Linked DNA regions of Schizosaccharomyces pombe. The protein of the gene in region 2 interacts with the protein of the main gene of each other region in a pairwise test. Each region holds a gene or a part of one and is shown on either strand. Other genes may lie near its edges. The genes, in order: mlg1 and pwp1.

What was found.
Region 1: the proteins of pwp1 (region 2) and mlg1 interact in a two-hybrid assay, tested with the Schizosaccharomyces pombe proteins (one large-scale study listed by BioGRID).

What each region holds. Positions count from the first base shown.
Region 1 is NC_003423.3:464,141-476,437, reverse strand, and holds mlg1 (1-acylglycerol-3-phosphate acyltransferase), read right to left. Parts: upstream 5,787-12,297; coding exon 4,734-5,786; 3' UTR 4,298-4,733; downstream 1-4,297. Other genes in the region: wpl1 (WAPL family protein), read left to right, coding at 1-1,418, 1,459-1,511, 1,557-1,811; Rheb GTPase Rhb1, read left to right, coding at 1,941-2,002, 2,062-2,320, 2,375-2,611; SPOM_SPBC428.15 (Obg-like ATPase), read right to left, coding at 2,999-4,228; Sid2-Mob1 kinase complex regulatory subunit Mob1, read left to right, coding at 6,313-6,487, 6,545-6,944, 6,993-7,050; SPOM_SPBC428.12C (peptidyl-prolyl cis-trans isomerase E), read left to right, coding at 7,609-7,639, 7,829-7,924, 8,020-8,178, 8,240-8,304; homocysteine synthase Met17, read right to left, coding at 9,516-10,805.
Region 2 is NC_003423.3:2,156,734-2,169,275, reverse strand, and holds pwp1 (WD repeat protein), read right to left. Parts: upstream 5,159-12,542; 5' UTR 4,999-5,158; coding exon 3,448-4,998; 3' UTR 3,280-3,447; downstream 1-3,279. Other genes in the region: ATP-dependent RNA helicase Prp16, read right to left, coding at 1-3,017; SPOM_SPBC1711.15C (uncharacterized protein), read left to right, coding at 7,065-7,163; meiotic recombination protein Rec15, read right to left, coding at 7,143-7,480, 7,530-7,734; histidinol dehydrogenase His2, read right to left, coding at 8,040-9,359; ppp16 (acylpeptide hydrolase), read right to left, coding at 9,600-11,651.

The DNA.
Region 1 (12,297 bases), 1.7 Mb from region 2:
GACAGTTTCAGAGTTAAACAAGCAAAAGCGCTCGCCAGGACAGACCGTGTCTAAACGACTGCATAAAAAGCAAAGGGTCGTTAGTAATCCTGATTTGAGTTTACCGTCTTCACCGGTAAAACAAATTTTAAGAAATGGACTTCAGAATTCAAAGTACGGTTCTCATAAGACAGGACTGGAAAGGTCCGCGAGCTGTAGTAGTATTGATGCTTCCGCAAACCATTCTTCCACTACCTATCGGGAACAAAGATCGTATTTGATGGAGGAAGGATTAGATACTCAGCCAATTGTACCCCGTGAAGTATCCTCTGGTCGAGAATTGGATTCAACCAACCATACTATTGGTACAGAACGTGCTTTTTTGATAGAGGAAGACGTATCAGAAGATGATGAAATTCAAATGAAAAGTATACATGAACTTCGCTTTGCTGGAGAGCAGCAAAGGATCGTTGATGAAATTGAATACTTAGTGGACGGAGTGACTTTCTCAGGTAACTCTTCTGCTTCTCGCTATTTGAGTTTAATAGGAATCGCTGAAAAAATGTTTGACAATTCATTTCGTTTATGCTTAAAGTCGATACGGGATGTCTTCTTGCGAATATTTGAAGAAATTGATCCTAAAGATACTTTACACACTTTTTTGCAGATTTATATATTTGCAACTATGGCTAATGAAATGGATTGCATGAGTTCCTTGCTTGATGCTTACTCAAACAATGTTAAACTTCTTTTGCAAACGGCTATTACTTTAGAACCGCAGGTACCGGTTTCAATTTTGGCAAAAAGCTTACCAAAAAGTGTAAAGGGAGCCGTTCAAGAATTCGTTATAAAGGCAGAGCTTACTTTTAGTTTTAGCAATGAGTCTCTTGCTTCTTCTGATTCTATCAGTCTTGCAGCTATCGCTCTTATGAAGACGTCCTCGGGAGTTTTTGCGGAAAGCGAGTTGTTTACCGAATTAATCAATCTTTTAATAGAAAAATCCTACCCCATCTTGAAGGAAAACGATGGAAGCAATAACTTCTTACTTCATGCACTTTGTAGTTCTTTAGAAAAATTTACGGATTTCCAGGGATCAGAAAAGATTCAGAAGGTTTCACAGATCTTATCCTCAAAGTTACAAATTTTAATTGATGAACACAATGAAACAAATTCACCAAAAATTGACGATACAGTTGTCCATGCATGCAGTGAAAAATTGTTGCGTACTTTGATTCAAACAGTTAATTCTAACAGTGATCATGCGTTAGCGGTTTCTAAATCAGAAGTCCCATTGTTTGCTTATAAAATTTTACAAAAGTTTTCTAATTTTTCGTCCGATGATGAAACTACACGAGAACTAATTATCTTAATCCTTGGTCTTTTACTAGGGCTAGTTGAGGAATCTCATGAGTTTATTCAAACTATCACTCATGTTGAAGGTAAGTTCCTTTTATTAATATTTTTACTAATTCTATTTAGTTTCTTTCGGAGCTTCAGCACTCGATGTCCTCATTTCGTTTTATCAAAAGAACGTAAGTTGTACTACTTCTGTTGTAAGACATTTCTAACAAATGTAGGAAAGTATCGTAGAAATTAGTGGATATGTCGTAATGATTTTAAGCCATTGCTTTTTAAATGATCCCAAAGCGTTTGCCCAACTCAAGCCTTTGATATCTCAGTTTTACGAATCTCTACATAAATTTAAAAATTTTCATTTGAAATTGAAAGAGGAATTAATGATGATGGGTTCTAATGGACTAGCCATTGTTTCTATAATTGATGAACTACATAAATCGTTGCAAGACTACTTGCGCAGTGACTTGGTAAAATGACCTTTGCGGCGCGCTGGGAACGTGACATCCACAACATCGTTGCTTTCACTCACTTTTTTTTACGATCACTCTATAGTTAATAATTTGCCTTTTTAAATATTATAATCTTGAAATTTTCTAATTTAAACAATGGCTCCTATTAAATCTCGTAGAATTGCTGTTCTTGGCAGTCGTTCTGTTGGAAAGTCCAGGTAAGCGTTTGATTGAAGTTTATGCGCAAATAGGTTTACTAACCATTTTTTTTAAATAGTTTAACGGTGCAATATGTTGAAAACCATTTCGTTGAATCGTATTATCCAACTATTGAAAATACATTCAGCAAGAACATCAAGTATAAGGGTCAAGAATTTGCTACTGAAATTATCGATACGGCTGGTCAAGATGAATACAGTATCTTAAATTCTAAGCATTCCATTGGAATCCATGGCTATGTACTCGTTTACAGCATTACTAGCAAATCTTCTTTTGAGATGGTTAAAATAGTTCGTGACAAGATATTGAATCACACTGTATGTCAAATTATTAGAATTTTTAAATTTTTTACTAACCTACTTGCTATTAAGGGTACTGAGTGGGTCCCCATTGTGGTTGTTGGCAATAAGAGCGACTTGCATATGCAGCGTGCTGTTACCGCTGAAGAGGGAAAAGCATTGGCCAATGAATGGAAATGTGCATGGACAGAAGCTTCAGCTCGCCATAACGAAAATGTTGCTCGAGCATTCGAGCTAATTATCAGCGAAATTGAAAAACAAGCAAATCCTTCCCCTCCTGGTGATGGAAAGGGTTGTGTTATCGCCTAAGCTTCTGCTTGAATTTATCATATTATGGATTAATTTATTTTAACTGAATTAACGATTTTATCTTTGCTAATGCAAGATATGGGCTTACATTACATGAGGTGATACTTTGCACACAAACGTGTTTTTTTACACATGGGTTTACAAGATTTCGACTCTTTATTTCAAATATACAAGTACCTAAACTATGGTTTTAAAATTTAGTCAATGTAATACATAGTGGAGAAAGTACAGCCAGACATTGTAGACGTAATTTGTTGAGTTAGCTCTTCGGAAGTTTTAAACTAACCAAATTAATTTTTAGACATAGTATTGTTTATTAACATCTATACAAAACTATTTTGAATATTTCCCAAAATCGACCTTTTACCACTTTTCTTCATGAATCACTTAAGCTTCAGCTTTCCGCAATCGAAAGTGAAGGATATCCGTTTTACCTGGGACAATAACATCAGATTCGCCGACGTTTCCATTTACACCCACAATAGACATTGCTTCTCCACCCAATACCATTTGAGATACCTGTCCAGCAGTCGTTCCTTGCTTCACTAAGATGCAATCTCTGAAAACACCTTCATTAGGAGAGTTTGCAAAATTGTGAACGTTTTTAACGGGAAAAACTGGAATCAAATTTAAAAGTTCCATTGCCTTTGCTAAAACATTACAAACTCCAGTTGAACCGTGTCGAAATAATACCATGTCTTGGAGGTCTGCGATACGGGTTTTAAGATTTTCGCTCAAAGGTTTCAAGCCAGAGTCAGGAAAATCGTCTAGCGTATCAACAAATTCAGAGCCCTCCTCGTACTTAACAAACCCCTGTTTTGCCAATCTTCGAAGAAAAACTTCGGATATGGCTGAAGCCAGTACGAGTCGATTTGGATCTTCTTTTCTAGCTATTTTAGATATATTTGCATCCGCATCAGGATGATCAATTTTGTTAAGAGCAATAACGGTAGGAAACTTGATATCAACGAATCTGTTAACCACTTTTTCAATTGTATCATCATCCCATTTCTCCAAAGGTGTATCTAAATGTAGCGAATCTAAGACTTTAGCTGTAACAGCAGGGGTACTTCCATATCCAGAAAACTGGGATTGTAGTGTATTGACAGGATTGGCTTTCGTAGCAATATGCCTACGAACTATATTAGGCCATTTCTCTCTCAGATTGTTTCCGATCCATGCAGTTATTTCCTTATACAACCAAGCGATATCTACAGAAGGATCATATCCACGACACACTTTTCCTTCCGCATCAGTAGTACCTGAGACATCTACCACATGGACCAAAGCATCGGCATGCCGTAAATCGTCTAAAAATTTATTGCCAAGCCCCTTTCCAGCATGCGCACCTGGAATAAGACCAGCTACATCAAGCAGCTGAATAGGAATTGAACGTACACCATTTTTGCAACCACCATAAATTGGTTTACATTTGTCCTGTAGTCCAAATCTTGAGCACGCGCATTCTATTTGAGCATAGCCAATAGCCCGGTTTGGCTCAATAGTGGTAAAAGGGAAATTACCAGTTTTAGCAGTGGCATCTGTCAACGCATTCAGCATCGTAGATTTACCACTGGAGGGCTTGCCAACAAATCCAATTAAAATGTCTCTACCCATTATTTGGAAACCTTAGAAGAAGTATGTGAGAAAAATTGGTACTGAAATCCAGGACCTACTCGTACTCTGCAATCTGAGAATTAGAGTAGTGGTAAGGGTCGAGTGTTTCGTAATACCTGCTTTTAGGACTAAAGATTTAAAGGATTGTTTGCTTGCACATTTATAATATTTTTTTTTTAGCATAATTTATTTTATTGTTATTATGTTATCTTCGACATAGTTTGAAACAGTAGATTGTAGGCCGTCTACAGGCAAAGAGGATGGTTGTAAGGAGAAAAAGTGTACAGAATAATTTATCTCGAAATCTCAAAGCTCAAGAGAAAGCTAATGACTATAAAACTATCGTCCGCAATGTATGCGGTAATTCCTTAACACTGAAAATCCAGTTTGCAATCTGTTAAAAAATGTTCATGAAAATCAGTTAATCTATGTAGTGTAAATGGGTAACTTTTCAACCATATGGTTTAGGGAAATGGAAAGAAATGGGTATAAATAACAGTTTTTTCTAGTGAGAAATGAATAGTTTGAGGAACAACCCAGCAACAATGCACGTGAAAAGTACGGAAAACAAAGAAAGAATTTCAAGTCTGTGCTTCAATCGAACAGTCGTATGCAATTTCTTAGGGCCCGGAAAATTCCCTGTTTCAAGAAGCGTATCGATAAGTTTATCTTTCTCATACCATCTTTGATAAAGCCAATCCGTAAACTGATCTTCTTCAGTGGGAATTTCCGAAATTGGGAAGCGACGAACGTGAATATGAAGCCTTTTGATGGGGACTCCTTCAAAAAAGAGCTTAGGTAAAGAGAAAGCATCGGCGGCATATTTCTTAGGAGAGGGATCAGAAAAATAAAATGTGTAATCGTACAAATAAGTCATCGAATCACGAAGCTGACTGATACTATAAAAGAGCCCTCGCACACGTGGGAGCATTAAATGCTTTGGCATTTTGACTCCAATTTTATCGGCATACACCCTGCTCCTTTGATATGTGCTTTCAACCAAGTTGGTTCCTTCTGGGAAGAGAATGAGACTGACGGAATCACGTACATTGCGAATGAACTTGAAATGACGAGACATAGTCTCGTAGTCTTTGTCCCATTTGCGAGAAAGGAAAATGAATCTAAACAATTGCATACCCCAACCTATAACTGGCAACCATTTGAGAGAGTTTTTTAACATAATATAAACATGACCATGCTGTTTAGCAGTGTACGATAACCACCAAACGTACATCCAGTCCGAGTAAAGTTGATGGTTTGCGATAACTATGTTGCGTTCAGCAGCAATTGTTTCCAAGCAACCATTTCTATCCAAATAAAACAAATTTCGAAGCTCGGGATCATAGGTGAGAGTTACAGGAGTCGGACTAAAAAGCTGGACCAAAGCGGTAAACAGAATACCGGCGAATGATTTTGTAAAAGCAATATATTTGTTATAAAGCTCCTTGTTGACAAAATACAGAGGAGTTCCAATAACTTCCGAGGTATAAATGGTAACTGAACCAACAGCCAAACATAATATGAATGAATACTTGCGAATCGCAATTCTGCATGTCATGTTGTCAAACCTAAATGAATTAAAGGAACCTAAATCAAATCTCAAGAAATAAAAGACTGTTAAATAGAATCCAGAGAAAGTTAGCAAAGTCGGTTTTAGTGATGCCCTTTCGCGTTTCTCACCGCACAGTAAAAGTCGTACACGAACACTAAATAGACACCAATTTGAGCAAAAAAAATCCCAAAAAGAAAATTAAAAGCTCTCTGCTTTCTTTTTAATTTCTTAGCCGCACGTTTAGCACCAAAGTGTAATTCAGGGAATGTCAGTGGTTATAGGCAGTGGGTAAAGAAGTAGCGATCGTACGTTGTCAATTTGTAAAAGTGCTCGGACCTAAACATACGGTCGTATGAATATGATAGGTATTCCAGTAATTAATTTGCGCTTAATATTGGTTGGCTGGATGGTCTTGAAAGTTGAACGGTAGAATGACCACGTTTGTTTACGAGGAAGGGACGATGAGTGGAAGGTTGGCACAAACCAAGCCTACCAGAACCCAACTCATACCAACTTTTTTGCATTTTCTTTCATGTTTGGATTTAGTAATAAGACAGCGAAGACATTCCGTGTAAGGAAGACTGAAGCGGGAACGAAGCATTATCAACTACGGCAATATGCTGAAGCAACGCTGGGATCTGGCTCTTTGATGGAAGCAGTAAAACTGCCCAAGGGAGAAGATTTGAATGAATGGATTGCTATGAACAGTAAGCTAAGATATAAAATTGACACTTCAAGAACTTTTATTAATTGAATACTTCTAGCAATGGATTTTTATACACAAATTAATATGTTGTATGGTACAATCACTGAATTTTGTACGGCGGCTTCCTGTCCTCAAATGAATGCTGGACCAAGTTATGAATATTACTGGCAGGATGATAAAATATACACCAAACCCACTCGCATGAGTGCTCCCGACTATATTAACAATCTGTTGGATTGGACTCAAGAAAAGTTGGATGACAAGAAGCTCTTCCCCACTGAGATTGGTGTTGAATTCCCAAAGAATTTTCGCAAAGTGATTCAGCAAATATTTCGAAGGTTGTTTCGCATTTATGCTCATATTTACTGTTCCCACTTTCACGTAATGGTAGCAATGGAGCTTGAAAGCTATCTGAATACATCATTTAAACACTTTGTATTTTTCTGTAGGGAATTTGGGTATGTGTTTCAATTTACTTACTTAAAGATGTTAACAACAAATTTCAGCCTTATGGATAACAAGGAATATGCACCAATGCAAGACTTGGTAGATAGCATGGTTTAAGAACAGTTTTGTAGTTATTCAGGAACAGGAAATGGGAGGTAAACTCGGTTCCCAAACTTACCAATTTAATGTTTTATTTTATCCCTACCATTACCATTTTATCCAGACCTTAGCACAATTTTTTATGGAAAATTTCTTCTTTTCATTTCAATCATTCACTTGAGTGATTACCATAAAGAATAGTTGCTAAAATTACTCTTTCTACTCCTCCACTTTTTTCTTATGACACTGCATTCTTTTAACTACTTTTGAAAAGTGTGGCATATCGCCTTTGCATAGGCTACTTGTGCAAAATATTCTCGCATTCTCTAAAGTGTCTATCTTCATACAATTCATTTTATTTATAACATTTCATGTATCATATGTCTCTGGAATCTTTATTTCAGGTTTCTGTTAAATACCGAAAAAGACTGCATCGTTATTTGAGAAACTACTTACTGAATGGTGGTGGATGTGAGATAGTAAATGTGCGAAATAATCTGAACTTTTTAATTCCCTATTATTTTAGTCTTTTTGCTTTTCATCTTATTTTTTTTTTTTAGTTTTGATGATCTGAGGATGGAAAGAAGGAAAGCAACCGTCCATGTGGGTAAGGATCAATGAATTCATCGTTGTTATGATATATCTATGAGTTTCATGATACCGCTTCCTCATATGGCCATTTATCTACGATAAATGTTTGAGGTTATGATTTAACTTGTTGAATATTATATGACGGCGATACTTCGTTTTAAAAGATTGTTGTTTTCAAAGATCTGTTTGCTAACTTTCTTTTTAGGTAACTTGGCTCCATCTGTAACAGAATCTCTTTTATACAATGCTTTCATTCCGTTTGGAGAGATTATCTCAGTTGCATTACATCGTAAAGAAAAAGGTAAAGTAGTCATGTATTGGTGTCATGTTGGTAAACAACTAGTTTTGATGCCATGAAAATGCTCAAACATTTTAAAAGTTTAGCTAACTTTCTAGCTGTGGACCGTTCCTACGCGTTTGTAGAATTTGATGAACCAGAAGACGCTAAAGAAGCTATGGAAAATATGAACTATTCTATTCTCTGTGATCGTTGTATCAGAGTATCGCCTGCAAATTTTGCGTTATCAGCTGAAGAGACAGCAGTTCCAGATATAGGTAAGAAAAATAGCTGCTGAAGAGGCTTTCAATTTTTTATGCTCTTTACTAATTTACGTAGCAATGTTGCATCCTGAGTCAGCGGATTTTCAAACTTTCAAATCGACTTCTACTCCTACCTCTTAATTTTGTAAGATATTGTTTTCTTTGTAATTGCCTCACCTTATAATAAAGCAAAATTGGGCATGCGAGTGACTATAGGTGAATTGTCTCCTTTTAAGTACTATATTTTTAAAGAGAATACCTCATCCTCCCTCCTTTTTTATCATTTTTATTCTTTACATTTCGAACCGACACCCATTCATCTTTTGTTAATGGAATTGCTATGCATTTAAGCCTTTTTGGAAAGCAAGGCTTGGTATTTACGATTGACGCTTCAACATTACTTTAGCATTGATTTCTTTATTATCCAAGAATTCATAGTTATTGAATGAATATACATACCTATACATATATCAGTTTTGCAAATCTTCCCCTTTGCGCTTTAAAACTCTCATACTCAAAATATCATTTCATAGTGCACTAAGGGAATTTAAGCCCGTATATTCCGTAACGTTATGTTAAAGTAATAGGGTAGGGTTTTGTGACCTGTTGTGACTGCTCAATTTTACTATAAATGGATGTACAAGAGTTTACCATTCCCCATCTTTGTGCACGGGTATTACGCTTATCAGTGAGGAACTTTTCCTAGATGGCGTTATTGCTAGTTGAAAACTATTACCCTGACCGCTCCAACTCTCGTTAAGAGTTTTGGGAATATTTGGAAACCAACTTATTGCAATAACTCATATGTTTACAATGTATGTCTTTAGCAATTTGGTGGTTTTTTATTTTTTGTAAAATTAATTTTATATGATTTTGTGTATTTTTTATTAATGAAAGCACCAGTGAATTTCTGCTAATAGTAATAATGTGCTTACCGAAATAAGGAGCTAAAAGCATTCAGTAATCTTTTGCTAGGCAGAGATCAAGATAACGTAAATTTTGTTATATAATATGTTACGCTTTCCTTGTTTTATAGACCTGTTAGCCATTAGTAGTGCACAAGTGTTATAAATAGTCATTGTTTATTACTTGTGAATCTGAATCTAAATTACCAAGAGATCAAACCGAAAAATGATTTATTTCATAGCGTAAACTGAAGTGTGAAATGTAAAGTCGGGTATGATAAATATATCTAGCTTTCTGTTGAAGAGAACACATTAAAAGTATTATAATGGATAAAAGAGAGAAATATTTTGAGCAGATGTGGGAAAACATACAAAAACTCAATCGATATTTGTGAAACATTACTATGTATTTTACAGGTAAATAAAAAGATATACAATGAGGGCTTTTTAGGCAACTTCCAAAGCTTGAGCAAAGTCGGCGATAATATCATCGATGTGCTCAATACCGACGGCCACACGAATAAGATCCTTAGTGACACCGGCAGAAATTTGCTCCTCATCAGTTAATTGTAAATGAGTGGTATAGGCAGGAGCGATAACCAAAGTTTTGGCATCACCAACATTGGCCAACTGACTAGCAAGCTTTAAGGCATTGACTACCTTACGACTTTGATCAGGGCCACCTTTAGCGCCAAAGCTGAGAACGGCGCCGTAACCATTTTTCAAGTACTTCTTGGCAAGTTTGTGAGAGACGTGAGATTCAAGACCAGGGTAAGAAACCCAGTTAACCTTGGGGTGCTTTTCCAAATATTTTGCAAGAGCAAATGCATTTTGAACGTGACGCTCCATACGAAGAGAAAGCGTTTCAAGACCTTGAAGAAGCAAAAAGACACCGAATGGATTGGCATTGCCACCAACATCACGGAGAGTTTGAGTACGGCAAGCAAAAGCATATGCCAAGTTACCAAAAGTTTCAGTAAAGACCATGCCATGGTAACCGGGATGAGGCTCGTTGAATTCAGGGAAACGCTTGCTGTTCTTCTTCCAGTCAAACTTACCACTATCAACAATCACACCGCCAATAGTAGTGCCATGACCACCGATCCACTTAGTGGCAGAGTGGGTAACGATATCGGCACCGTGGTCAATGGGACGAACCAAATAACCACCGCCGCCAAAAGTGTTATCGACCATTAAAGGCACACCAGCGGCATGAGCAACCTCAGCGATACGCTCAAAATCGGGAACGTTGTACATGGGATTGCCGATGGACTCAACGTAAACAGCCTTTGTGTTTTCATCAATCTGAGCTGCAAGATCATTAGGATCATCACCATTGACAAACTTGGTAGTAATTCCCAATCTAGGCAGGGTAACCTTGAAGAGGTTGTAAGTACCACCATAAAGGTAAGAAGTGGAGACAATGTTATCACCGGCCTTAGCCAACGTGGTCAAAGCCATGAAGAGAGCGGAAGTACCGGAACTAGTAGCGATTGCAGCAGCGCCATGCTCCAAGGCGGCAATACGTTTCTCAAAAACGTCGGCGGTGGGATTCATCATACGCGAGTAGATGTAACCTGGTTCCTGTAATCCGAACAAGCGGCCGCCATGGTCGCAATCACGGAAAACATAGGAAGTAGTAGCGTAGATGGGAACGGCACGAGAGCTGGTAGCAGCATCAGGCTCTTGGCCAGCATGTAATTGTAAAGTTTCGAAATGTTCACTCTCGACTGGCATGTTGAATGTGAATGATCTTTATTTTGATGATGAGTTTAAAGTGCTAGTAAAAGATATTTAACAGTTTGCAACAAAGATCAATTTCAAAAAACCAAAAGCAGCAATTTAAAAGAGAAAATGACAAAAAAAAAAGGAAAAAAAAAAAAGACGAGTCGAAACTCAAAAAAATTTCAAAAGCTAATACAAGTGAAATGCAAACTGATACACTAGCGCTTATAAATTATTTTTCCTTGCTTTCAAGCTCTTAGCAGTCGAAAAACTAAGTGCCGATACCGCTCATTTTATAGGAAACACAGCGAAGAAGGATTAGGAAATTTCTGCTCGGAATTTCACCATCGCAATAAAATTTGTCGTGCTACTTCCGGCACAATTGTACTTAATCACATCAGATCTCTGTTGCCAATGATTTGCACGAAGACTTGTTTTTTACCTAAAATAGTCAAAACCGAACAAAATTTTTTATTGCAGATCTTTTCATAACGCCGACATGGAGAAGAGGGAAGATCATCCTTCAGGATCGCCCGTGCTGATTGCGAAAGTTAAGGTGCCGTATTAGCTGCAGTATCGTAATTAACGTAGTTTACTGAAACCACTTTTCGTACAATTGTGCTGAGCTGTAAAGTATGGGGAATTACAGTGTCGTGCACTAGAAGAGAATAGCATACAATACTAGCAATGCACTCTACATGCATTCGGATCCAGTAATGCATAGCGATAACAAACAATAGCATATTGCAAAATATCAAATTTAAAACAACTTTTTAACTTCTTTAAAGCTAAATTGCAAACAGTGCGGTATTCTGCGTTTTTGTGTTAAACAATGCATAAAGTAATAAATATACAAAGTTCTGTTCTTCATCTTCTTTGCTAGTAAGTGGTTAGAATTCGCTACAATGAAGATAACCGTGCAATAAACGAAGAAAAATAAAGAAGTGTAAATAAATAAAGCAAGTAATTAAATTGTTTTTTCACGAATAAAAAAATGGAAGCCTACAGCACCCCGGATTCCCATGTTGTCTCCAACCATAGTACTAACGAGGCCCTCAGACGCTTAACTGCAGTGATCGGACGGGAACTGGTGTTTTCGCCTAGGTATGGCCGTAGACAGTTGTTTGAATTAATTGTAAATTTTATAGCTAAATTAAAAAGAAATTGCAGTGACACCAGTTGTAATATGACACATTTCTGTTTGATTCTTCAATGTACAATGGATTGGCTCAATTTCACTTTTTGAAAAACTTTTTTTATTAAAAAATATAATGTTCATTGAGTATAAATAAAATAGAATTCTCGTATAATGAGTGAAAAAATTATTGTAAGATCTGCCCACACCAGGAATCGAACCTGGGTCGCATCGGCCACAACGATGAGTCTTAACCACTGGACCATGTGAGCTAGTTGATTATCATTTAATTTAAATCTTATATATACTGTATTTTAGTACAATTAGATATCTCATTACCAATCATTATAAAAATCATTAATCATCAAA
Region 2 (12,542 bases):
TGACGAATATCGCGCGCCCGTTTAAGAGTTTTCGAGTGTAAAAAATGTTTACTGCACCATGAATTTGAATATCCATTTCTTTGCCAATGCTGATAAATATTGAGTAGCATTAAATGATCACTTTCTGGCACATTAAACTTTTCTCTTGCAGCGTCACTCTCTTCAGCTCTTTCCTTGGGTCTATAAAATACAGACGGAACTGAAAGCATGGAAACAATCGTAATAATTTCCTCAGTACATTTATAATCTTCAGCAATAATAATAAGTTTTGAAAGAGAAGGATCCATTGGAAATAACGACATTTTCTTTCCTAAAGTAGTAAGTTTTCCAAAATTGTCGAGGGCTCCTAAAGTCCATAATTCATACAGAGATGCCATTAACGTATCATTTGGAGGACGGTCCATGAAATCAAAATCCGAAATTTCTTCAACACCAAGGGATTTTAAAATAAGAACTGTGTTTGATAGATTGGTACGCTGAATTTCAGGTAAGGTCGTTTCAAACATTTCACGAATATAAGCCATTTCGGTATAAAGGCGATATGCAATACCGGGTCCAGTACGCCCAGCACGACCGGCTCTTTGATTCGCATTAGCTTGCGAAATAGGTGTAACTTGCAGAGTATCAATACCCAACTTAGAATTATACATTTTCAGTTTACAATATCCAGTATCTACAACATATGATATTCCGTGCACAGTGAGCGAAGTTTCCGCAATATTAGTTGCGACCACAACCTTTCTAACACCTGGCTCGGCGGAATCAAAAATTTTTGCTTGTAAATCCGCAGGCATTTGTGAGTAGATAGGCAAAATGGACAAGCGTGGTGCATCATGCAACTGATTTAACCTATCTGCAATGATCTCGCATGTAGCTTCAATATCTTCCTGCCCTGTCATAAAAACTAAGATATCACCTGCAGGCTGAGAGAGGTGAATCTGCAATACCTGTCGTACAGCTGCTTCAACGTAATCAGAGCAAGGGGCTTTAGCAAACATAATATCCACCGGGTAAGTACGACCTGGAATTGTAAACTGTGGGGCGCCTCCAAAAAAATCAGAGAATTTCTGGGAATTCATAGTAGCGGATGTAACGAGCAACTTGATATCTCTTCTCCTGGATAACACCTTTTTTAGTAAACCCATTAAAATATCTGTATTAAGGGATCGCTCATGTGCTTCATCCATTATAATGACGCTATATTTTTCTAGATTATTTTGCATCAAGGATTCTCTTAGTAAAACACCGTCAGTCATGTACTTAATTACGGTATCCGGTCCAGTAACATCTTCGAAACGAATTGAATAACCAACTGTTGAACCTAGACGAACACCCATTTCCTCACTAACCCTTTTTGCAACTGACATGGCGGCGACACGACGAGGTTGAGTACACCCTATCATGCCATTTCTATGATAGCCATCCTCATATAAGAATTGAGCTAATTGGGTAGTTTTACCAGAACCAGTCTCACCAACTACAATAAGAACTTGGTTATCACGTATAACAGAAAGAAGCTGTTCACGCACGGCAAAGGCAGGTAGGAACTCTCTTTGTTCTCTATATGATTTCGTGCGAGCGAACTCAGTATCCTTCTTATTCGACTGTTCAGAACGTCCAGCTACTTTAACAGGTGTGGTACCGGCCTTGGCATCTTCATCATTAGAATCTTTGAGACCCATCACGTTACCCAAAGATGTACCAGCAAGGGATGTAGCAGCACTTGCTGCTTTTTGACGCTCCCGAAATTCTCTTCGTTCACGTACAAGACGAGATCCTAATCTAGCATTTATTGCAAGGTCGCTTTGTGGATCTCGAACCGATGTAATATCACCGACTTTCTTAGAAGAAAATTCGGCCCCATCCAAAAAATGAGGACGCAGTTCATCGACAAGCAAGTGAACACGCCTCTCTTCCATAAGGGAGTAATCAGATTCGAGCCCTGGAGCTTTTGAAACACCAGATGTGATCATTCTATTTTTTTCCCACATAGAATTTTCTTTAAATCTGTCTGATGCTTCAATTGACAAATGCTTTTTCTGCTTTTCGATAAACTCAGCTTCATGTGCACGATCTTCGACAGTTTCAAAATCGGAGAATGGATTGTGAACTTCATCGCCAAGTAAATTTTGCGACTCGGAATTCATGTACCAATCACGATCCAAGTGAGCTTGCTCCTCTTCCCAACGTTGACGATCAGCTTTACTCTCGGGATCTTCTTCGGGGTACTCAACGTCGCGGGCATCCCAAGAGCTGTGTGCACCATAAGAATAATCACTATCGTGCGAATATTTAGAGCTATCGACGTCTCTTCGAGAACCATTACCAAACCGATTTCTGCGTTTTGAGGATAAAGGTTCTTCCATTTGAGTTCGATACCGCCGACGATTAGATCCATTGGAAGACTCGAAATTACTTCCAGACCAGCTAGAATAAGAATTTCTACGATATTTATCATCTTCACTTTCAAACTCTTGATGATCGTCAACAGATGACCGTTGACGAAGGGGACGAAAATGTTTTTCATGTGGATTTTTAGGTCTCTTAAATTCCACCCTGTCATAGTTTCCTATAGACTCCAAGGAATCATTTTCTACTTGGGATAATTCAGAGCGCCCTTCTACTTGAGATTTCTCTTTCTTTTTTTGAACAGCAAGAACATCCAATCCAAGCTGGGATTTTTTGGGTTCTCGGCCTTTCAAACCAGAACGATTAGACAAAACTAATCCAGCTACCTGAGACCCATCATTCCCAGGAAGTTTATCTTTAGAAATCCCCAAATTTGTCTCTAAACCAATTATAGATTTGCATAAATCGTAAATAAGGACGCTGTCATTATCGGAAAATCGTCCAAATGTATGTAATGCATTAGAAAACTCGGTGCTGGACGAGCTACCCTTGGCAATTGTCAAAACTCGACTGGCAAGCGATGTAGCTGCATCTTTACTGGACATATAATCAGTTAATTTATCTATTAACTTCGTAAATAGCAAATCATTTTGATTATGTGAAAGCATACCTACTAAATCAATAAGGTTGCTGGCGGAAGGCGAACTTACTCAGACCCTCCGGCCCCCCAAAGGTGCAAAATCATGAACCTGAGTAATTGACAATTAACAATTTATCAGTACTTCAATGTTTAAATAAAAATTGTCATATGAATTAAAAGAATTGTTAGGCAAAATTTACCAAGTAACGGTAAACCCAATATACACTTAATGCATACATTTGCTACTCCACTAATGTGGATGAATTTACTAAAGTTTAAAGACCATCATACACCAAATCAAATGAAATTTATTGTAACTAACCTGATCCCTTTTTTCCAAATATTGAATTATGCAAAAAATCCTCTATACAATTAGTGAGCCCTTTAAACCCATGAAGCGGCCTCTTAGGAGAGTTTTTGAAAACATGAAGCTATAATCTTAAAATAAATCAAGAGAATTAGGACATCTCAGCATCTTGATCATCATCGTCTTCTATATCTTCATAGTCATCATCATCAGAAGAGTCCTCCCCGGCACCTCTGTCTTCTAACTGAACGATGCGCTCTTTTTTAGTAACTTCCTCAGTAACTCTACTTTCAAACGCTTTTCGAACACCAGGATTAGTTGCAGTGTCCCAGACACGAACGACTCCTTTGCTTCCGGAGGCAGCTAGATGGAAAGCAGTTGATTCGTCCGTAGTAAAGGAGCAAGTAAACACACGTCCAACATCCAAATCTCTAGAAACAACCATCTTCGGTGAACTATCGGAAGTGTTCCAGAGTTTAACCACTCTATCAGTGGAGCCTGTGGCTACAAAAGAAGGAACCGAAGGATTAACACTGAGACAAGAAATAGGTCCATCATGGGCTTGCAATTGCCAAACGGACTTTGAGAGATTTCTAGCATCGCAATAATAAACTATGCCATTATCAGTGCCAATGAAAAAGTTGTTTTCGCTATGTTGATCCCAGGCAACATTTTCAACATCGCTAGTAACTTGAAAACTCGATGGAGCTTCTTCAAGGCGAAGGTCAGCTATTTTTGCAGTTTTATCATAACTACCTGACAATAATACGGATGGAGCTTTGGAATACCAATCTAAGCAAGAAACTTTGTCAGAATGATACGTGAAAGATTTGACACAATTGCATGTGCTCAAATCCCACAACTTTAGTGTGGTATCTGCAGAACCAGAAACCAAAAGATTGTGAGCATTTCGGTTCGAAGAAAGAGCAAGAACAGCATCTGTGTGATAACTATCATTTATTTTTTTAGACTTCTTCTTTTTCTTGTTGACTTGAGAGGCACCTGCACCCAACACGGCTGCAGGGTAAACTGCATCAATGATGTCTAAATCCCATATTTCAATTTCAGGATCAAACGTGCCGACAGCAACGTAATTTCCAGGAGCGTTGTCAGACGTACCCACCTTATAATCTAGCCATTCGAGACACAGAGGAAAGGTAGGGAGAAGAAAATCATGATGCACGTAAAGATTTTCCTCTGTTGGCTCATATACATACACTTCAACGTGGGACAAGTTATCTTCTGTGCGCGCAGCTAGCAAAAGGCTGTCTGTTGGTAATATTTGCATTTCCTCTCTTTCCAAATCGTCCTGTTCCTGAGGATCAATAGTGATATATGGATCTTTTTCTCCATTTTCATGGTAAGCCAATCCACGAATGTTGCTAAACATAGCAGCGGGCCCTTCTGTCTCAGCTTCCTCCTCATCGTCATCGTAAGTATCCAAATTGTATACTTTCAATTCATCATCTACCTCTTCACTTGTTTGCAACACCCCTTCTGCTCCATCTGTAGTTTCTTCACCGTTCCCATTGGCTTTATTTGAGTCTTCCATAGAAGATTGGAGATCAGCTCGAGCATCCTCGAGCTTTAACTTTGAAAGCTGATTAATTCGCTCATACTCTATCTCATCAATATCGTAACTCTTGGGAAACTCTGATGCATAACCGCGAGGAACAAAAGCCACAGACGAGACTATTGACATGTTGCACCTCTCTTAATATTTACTCCGCAAATCTTTACTTTAATGTTTAAACCAGAAAACACACCACTCTTGATCTAAACGAGATTAAAAATTTAAAGATTAAGTAAATGTCAACGTATTGATACGAGTAAATAATGGCATAAATCGTGCACCGCTACTTGGGAAAAGAAGAACTGAAAATATTCGTGTCTTACAAAAAACGTTATTTAACCGTTTAGCGTAAACCTGCGTTAAATTAGATTTCAAAACTTAAGAAAACATTTTTCTTCGACCAAAAGGCCATAACGTTCATGTAGATAAACTAAATGCGTTAACTTAATTTACGTCAACAAGTATTTTTACTCATCGTAAATTCAAGTTAATGTCAGTTACGCAATTTGGTATCTGTTTAATGATACATTGAACTACGGCGAGTATTTCTTACGAGCTACGATGTAACGGTATGCGGTATGTTAAACTAACTAACATGTAAGCTACGCAGTTTGGTATCTGATTTAAGGATACGTAGAACTGCGGTGAGTTTTCCTTGTGATCTATTATATTACAATACACAGGTTGTATAAGTAGCAACTGAGAATAGGTATTGTATTAACTGGGTTATAATGTTACCTATCACTAATATAGCTCATAACTGAACCTCGTTCCTCAGTTCAGCAGTAGCTCTATTTATATTATTCAGATAATATAGATCTTAATAGATCATCATTAAGATCAATCTCAATATCGTATCATACATGGTACGATATATAATTAGAACATGTGACATATAGTGATACGCAAGTAGTGTATCATAGCGTAGTGTAGTATTGCTGACATAACAATATTTATTTGAGAAATCTAATAGCATCGGTCACTAAATTTTTTAGTCTTTCTAATATTTGTATTTGTTCTCACTGGTGTCTAAGTAAAATTAATGGATCTTAAAATTTGTTTCCAACATATAAAATCAGTCGCACGCAACACAGTGTAAACACTTCTAACAGTACGTTGCATAAGAATACTAAGTTGAGTGAATTAAAAGGGCGGTAACAATATGAGTGTCAGAAGCATCACATTAAGATGGAGTTTGGAATTTTTGGTTTTTACTTAACTTTTAAATGATTTCAAGATTGAATAAACACAAAACAATACTTTGAATTTTATTAATTAATTTTATTGAATTTTTATATGGAGAAAAATTGCAATACTAGCTTCGTTAGAAAGTTTGTACGATAAATGCTACGGACGTATATTTGTGTATTGCCTGCTGTTTTCGTTTAATGTTGCAAAGAACACAAGTCAACTAATTTGCCGCAGCTCTAACTGCTGTAATCTATAAAGTTCGCTATACAACAAACGAACACAAGGAAACAAATAGTCACCTATAATTTTCTCTTCTTAAATTAGTCTTAATTTTTGGACTGAAACTTAAACAGTAAAACGAATAGCTTATAATATGAAAAGTTGTTTTAGAAGGGCAAAATGTTAGAAAAAGTTATCGATTACACAACAATAGGAAACTACCCTTTTACTATGATTTTGAGCAAAACCAGTAAACCAATCCATAAATCACAATATGTAGCTTTATTCATGCTTTTATCTTTTTTTTTTAACGAAAGCTTATGTTTAATAAGCTCGACTCTCGTATAGTTGATAAAAGCCGTCACGTTGTTTCGAAGCTATAAATTTGGCAAACCGCTAAACGTACGTAGTGCCATCAACGCTGAAAACAGCTATATTAGTGCATATAGATAATTTCGTAAAAATCTTTGAAGTTTTTTAAAAAGGACTGTCTATAAAAAATTTCAACTAGGTAGGTATTCAAAAATGAAAGAAACTGAAAATTCCTTGAATTCTATTGTGATGACAAAAGAAGAAGCTTAACATTTTATATAGGAAGTGCCGTCTGAGAGTTCTGCTCGGTGACCAAGCTAATTCATTCTGAGAAATCTTTGTAAACTCAAGGGGTTTTAGTATTCAATCATTTGGGCTTTCATAAGTCTATCAACAGTTTTTGCTCATTGCATACTAACAGCGTTTAGGCAAGTTTAATATGTGCTGAAAGTGAATATATTGCATCGCTCACTATGAAAAAACGGTTTGATTGGTGTTTAATTTTAATTGATATCATAGAAAAGCTTTTAAATGAGGCTGATCTAAGTATTTTAATAATCGTCATCTGCTAAGAAATCAATAGCCAGTACTCGCTTTTTCGTTGTTGTATTACTTCTGGGCATAGTTTGATTTTGTACTGTTCGTGTTTGTTTAGTAGTCATATAACGCTTTTTCAGCTCTGCATCTAGCTTTTTAGTGATTATAGTCATCTGGCTTGTGCAATCAGCTAGTGTTTTTGTATTACTGTTCTGTTCTTTTTGTAAAGCTTCAAATTTCAAATTCATATCTGACATGGTCTGTTCCAACTTATTGATACGACTGGCATAATCTTGAATCCCTAAGGCCACTTGCTGCATAGACATGTTTATTTGATTCAAAGATTGTAGTACTATTAAGTCAGACTTCCAACCACTTGGGAAATTCTAAATCTCACTTACCTAGTTGAGAATTTTGTTGTTGGACTTCACTAATAGATCGTCCTAGTTGACCGATCGTTTGATTAACTACCTCTTGTTTGGTATTCATTTCAGCCAAACAACTAGCAATTTGATTGCTCTGTGACTTTTGATGCTGTTGCATATCTTCGGCTTGCATTGCCAACTTGCGAGACCATAATTGAGCAGCTGAAACTGAATAACTCATTATTTAATGATCGTTTCCGTTAAAATTCCCGTAACGCTTAATTGCAGGTTTGGTTAAAGGGAATGTTCGTTTTCACTAGAAAAAAGTCGAGACACGCGACGCGACACCAACTAACTTCAGGTTGAATTAATGGATAATTACTCAGTATATTGGATGCCCATTCATACTATTAAAATTAAATTGAAAAATATAAAATAAAATAAAATAAATCATAACCTAAAAATACTTTGTCAAATTTAGTACCAAACACAAATTTTATTTTAAGCCGAATCCTTAATTAGGTATACGTAAAAAGGAAACCCCTTTCAAAGTCTAACTCCCCGAACACGAACAGCATCGGCATGCGCAGTGAGACCCTCCAACTCAGCAAGACGAATAACAGTAGGGCCCAACCGCTGGATTCCTTCTTCAGTGAGCTCTTGGGTAGTGATATATTTTAAGAAGCTATCGGTACTAACGCCAGAATAAGAAGAGGCGTACCCGTATGTAGGAAGCGTATGGTTGGTACCAGACGCATAGTCACCCATACTTACAGGTGACCAAGGACCAACGAAAACGCTACCAGCATTATCTATTTTGGGAATGTATGAAGAAGCATTTTTTAAGTGCAAGACCAAGTGCTCAGGACCATACAAATTAGACCATTCAAAAGCTTGATCAACATTGTCAACCTGTACAATAACCGACTTCTTGATAGCATGTTTGATGATATACGAACGAGAAAGTCGTAAAGCGTGATCATTAATTGCTTTTTGAATACGGTCAAACATTTCGGGAGATAGAGAGACAGTCAGCAAAATGATCTGACTGTCCAAACCATGCTCTGCTTGAGACAATAAATCCAAGGCAACACTTTCAGGATTACAGGTCTCATCTGCTATTACCAAAACTTCTGAGGGACCAGCAGGAAGATCAATAGCAACTAAAGCCCCGTAATCATTCTGAACATGCATCTTTGCAGCTGTAACAAATTGATTTCCAGGGCCAAAAATTTTGTTAACTTTAGGAACACCGGATATTCCATATGCCATGGCCGCAATTGCTTGCGCCCCGCCTGCCAAAATAATAGCCTCAGCACCAATTTTATTTGCAATATATACAATTTCAGGCGCAACCGTACCATCCTTTCGGACTGGCGTAGAAATCACTACATGAGGACAGCCAGCTACCTTCGCCGGAACTCCAAGCATCAAAGCAGTAGATGGCAACACTGCAGTTCCTCCAGGGATATAAAGACCAACTCGGTTAATAGGACGAGACATCCGTTGACAGACTACACCACGCATGGTTTGAACAGCAATTGTAGGACGCAGCTGTGATGAATGGAAAGCAAAAATATTGTTAAAAGCAATATCAATATCCTCTTTAATCATTGGGGATATTTTCATTAAGTCGTCGTCAAACGGAGCCTTTAAGACAGCCGACTTCAATTGAACCTTTTCAAATTTGGAAGCATAATCTATTAGAGAAGCTTCTCCTCTTGATTTAACATCCTCGATTATCGGTTGGACAATCGTACGAATTTTTTGAGTGTTCTGAATGGGTCTTGCAAGTAATCGTGTACGTTCTTCGGCGGTTAATGCAGCAGCTCTATAAGAAGGCACCTGAATCTCGTATTCCGGCATTATTAAGTAAATTAAAGGTAGTCAAGTCTAAATCGACTCTCTAAAAATTTAATGCAATGTTGGCTAAGGAATGGCTGGATCGGTGAATACTCGATTTCCCTTACAGCAAAGATCTAAATTTGATATGTCTTCGGATAAACCGCGGTTGCAACTTTTTATCCGCGGTAATAGAATTAACAAAGATCGAGAGAAACAAAAAAAAATTTATTAAATAATCGTAGTTGTATTATTAAAATTAATCTAAAACGTTTCATCTTCATTGGCATTACAATCTTTAGTATAGTGAAGAATCCACGAAAGCACTTCTTTATGCCAACGTAGGGAATTATCAGGTTTAATGACCCAATGGTTTTCGTCTTCAAAGACTAGTAATCTGCTAGGAATTCCCTTGTACTGCAAAACATTGAATGCGGCTATTCCTTCACTTTCGGTAAGCCTGTAATCCTTTGAGCTATGAATTACAAGTTCAGGAGTGGCCCAATAATTCACAAAATTTGAAGGATTCCAGCGCTCATAGATAACTCTGTTTTCCCAAGGAGTACCCCCAAAATCGTGAATAGAAAAATAAAGTTCTTCAGTATTGTAAAAAGTATTGAGGGTATTAAATACCCCGTCATGACATACAAGTGCACGAAATTGACGACCTAAAGGGTGTCCTTGAATCCAATTAATCATGTAACCACCATAGGAAGCACCTAAGGCAACCATTTTTTCAGAATCAGCATAGGAAAGATGATTTTTTATGTACTCAACACCAAGTTCAATATCTTTATATGGCTTACCACCCCAATCAAGAGCAATGGAATCGGTAAAACGTTGTCCATAACCTGTAGATCCAGTAGGATCAAGAGCAAATACAATAAAACCAGCATTAGCAAAAACTGCAGGATTCCAGCGCGTTGACCAACTATCTGTCCAAGAACCTTGAGGTCCCCCGTGTATAAGCACTGCTACAGGATATTTTTTAGATTTATCAAAACTTTCGGGCTTTACAATCCATGCATGAATTCTGTGACCATGAGTGCCAGGAAACCAAATTTCTTCATAAGAAGTTGGCGATAATCCGACATTGTTCTCGAGTAAAACACTTTCGTTTAACGTTTCAACGTTAATCTTTGCGTAATAAGGGGGATTGATTAAAGATGACTTCGTAAGCCATAAGGAAGAAGATTTAGGGACACTAATAGAAGAAACAGAGTGTTCTTCTGTCATTGGGATAACTTGGTGGTGAAATATAGAAACAAAAAACAAAATTTGCTTCCCATAATTCTCAGCAATAGCAAAAAGACCTGGTTCGCCTCCTTTGAAAACCCCCCATTCAATGCTGGAAGGCGATCGGTCCCAATGACGAGCAATGTGCTTTTTAGCGCCTGACTCGGACTCATATACCATTATTTGATTTTGATCGCTTTCGTACTGTGGTGTTTGCATTTCAAGCCATGCAATATGATTTCCATCTTTGGCTAGTCTTGGTGAAGAGCATGCACCCTTCGCAGTGCTCAATGACTTCAGATTCCGAGTGTTCAGATTAATCTCGTAAACAACTGTCTTTGTTTGTGTTGCCGGATTTAATTTCGGGTCTTTTGCTACAAAGACAAGTTTGTCGTAGTTAGAATCAAAGTCAGAAAGACCTCCGAAGGGTTCGACAGGAGATTCCAAGCCAGTTTCCTTCAACAAATCAATAGCTTTTTCTGAGGAAATTTCAAAATAATTTGAGTTTTCCGTTTTTTTATCTAGCTCTATAAAATAAAGGGTATTCCTAGATCCTGTGTTCCATCTATCCCAGTGTCGAACAAACAAGTGATCGTATACGTGAACATTTGAAGGTCCCTTAACTAACGAATTATCCACTGAACTAAAAACGATTCTATAGTGGTTGTTCTTTTCTCCGATCCTTATATCAGATATTGAAGAGTTATGATTATATATGATACGCTCTGATCGATTGTTAACGTCAAAAAGAAGGATACTCGATGAGCTAGAATTATCTTCTCTTGCATATAAAAAAGCTGAATCAGTAATCCATGTGAGCGCTTTGTTTGATTTGCCGTGTACTAAAAGCTCTTGATGGTTTCTAGTGCTTTCATTCAAAAGGTAAATTCCAGAGTTATATTTGTGATCAGCAAAGGAATAATTCGATTCTATAAATATTCCAAGATTCCCTAAAGGATTGCTAACTACTGCTGACCTTCTAGGAGCTTCTAGCATGGATTCCGCATCAAATGCAGCCTTGTCAGCTGCAGTTAGCGTCATTACCAGGAAAAAAACTAGCTGCTTGAAAAGACTATGCATCCAAAAAAATATATTCTTTGACCAGAGTGAGGTGAATTCTAAGGAATTTGCATGAAGGGGAAAGGAAATTTATCTTGCAAAGATTACCAACCCATCTGACGAAGATATGATTATATATGATGACTTTATAAACTCCCAGCATAGTGTTAGCGTGCAGCCCTTTGTAAAGCGTTGGGCTGCGTTTGTACTGATAGGTGATGGTTTAAATTCATGTTACAATAATAACAATTTCTTTATTATTGAATATTTCTAAAACAATTTTCATCAGTATATTTAACTTGAAATACCAAGACATCTCAACAAAACATGTTATTGGGCAAATAGTCATAGTGAATATCTGCTAACTTATAATCTTTATCCTATTAATGTCAGTTATGGTAAATCTCTGATAATATTTGTTTAAATAGACATCATTTTATAGTCTTATAAAAATTTTACAGATCTTCAACTTCTACCGAATAATGAGAATTGAAGAACTTTAATGAACCCATCAGTTATTTCTAAAAAGTATTGTAGTGTGTGAAGTCCTCATCAAAAATGCAAAATTCAAACCACTCAATTGAAATTACTTGTATTATTATATAGATCAATCATGTTTGAGAAGCATAGTTTGAGATATAAATCACTGTCATCCTTCGGACGGAGATGACTATAATCTTATAAAATTAAAGCAGAACAGGGAAATGCATATACTTAAAAAAAGGCACAGAAGATTTTATTGTTAGTACAAAACCTATACTGTTGATAATCCCTCTTTACTGAGCTATATTTTTTTAAAGCTCAGAACAAAATAAAATCTATGCACAACAGAAAGAAGTAAGTACGAAGGAGACATCATCCATTCCTTTAGCAAAGAAAGAAACAATTCCACGTTGGGAAGTTTAAAGTTGT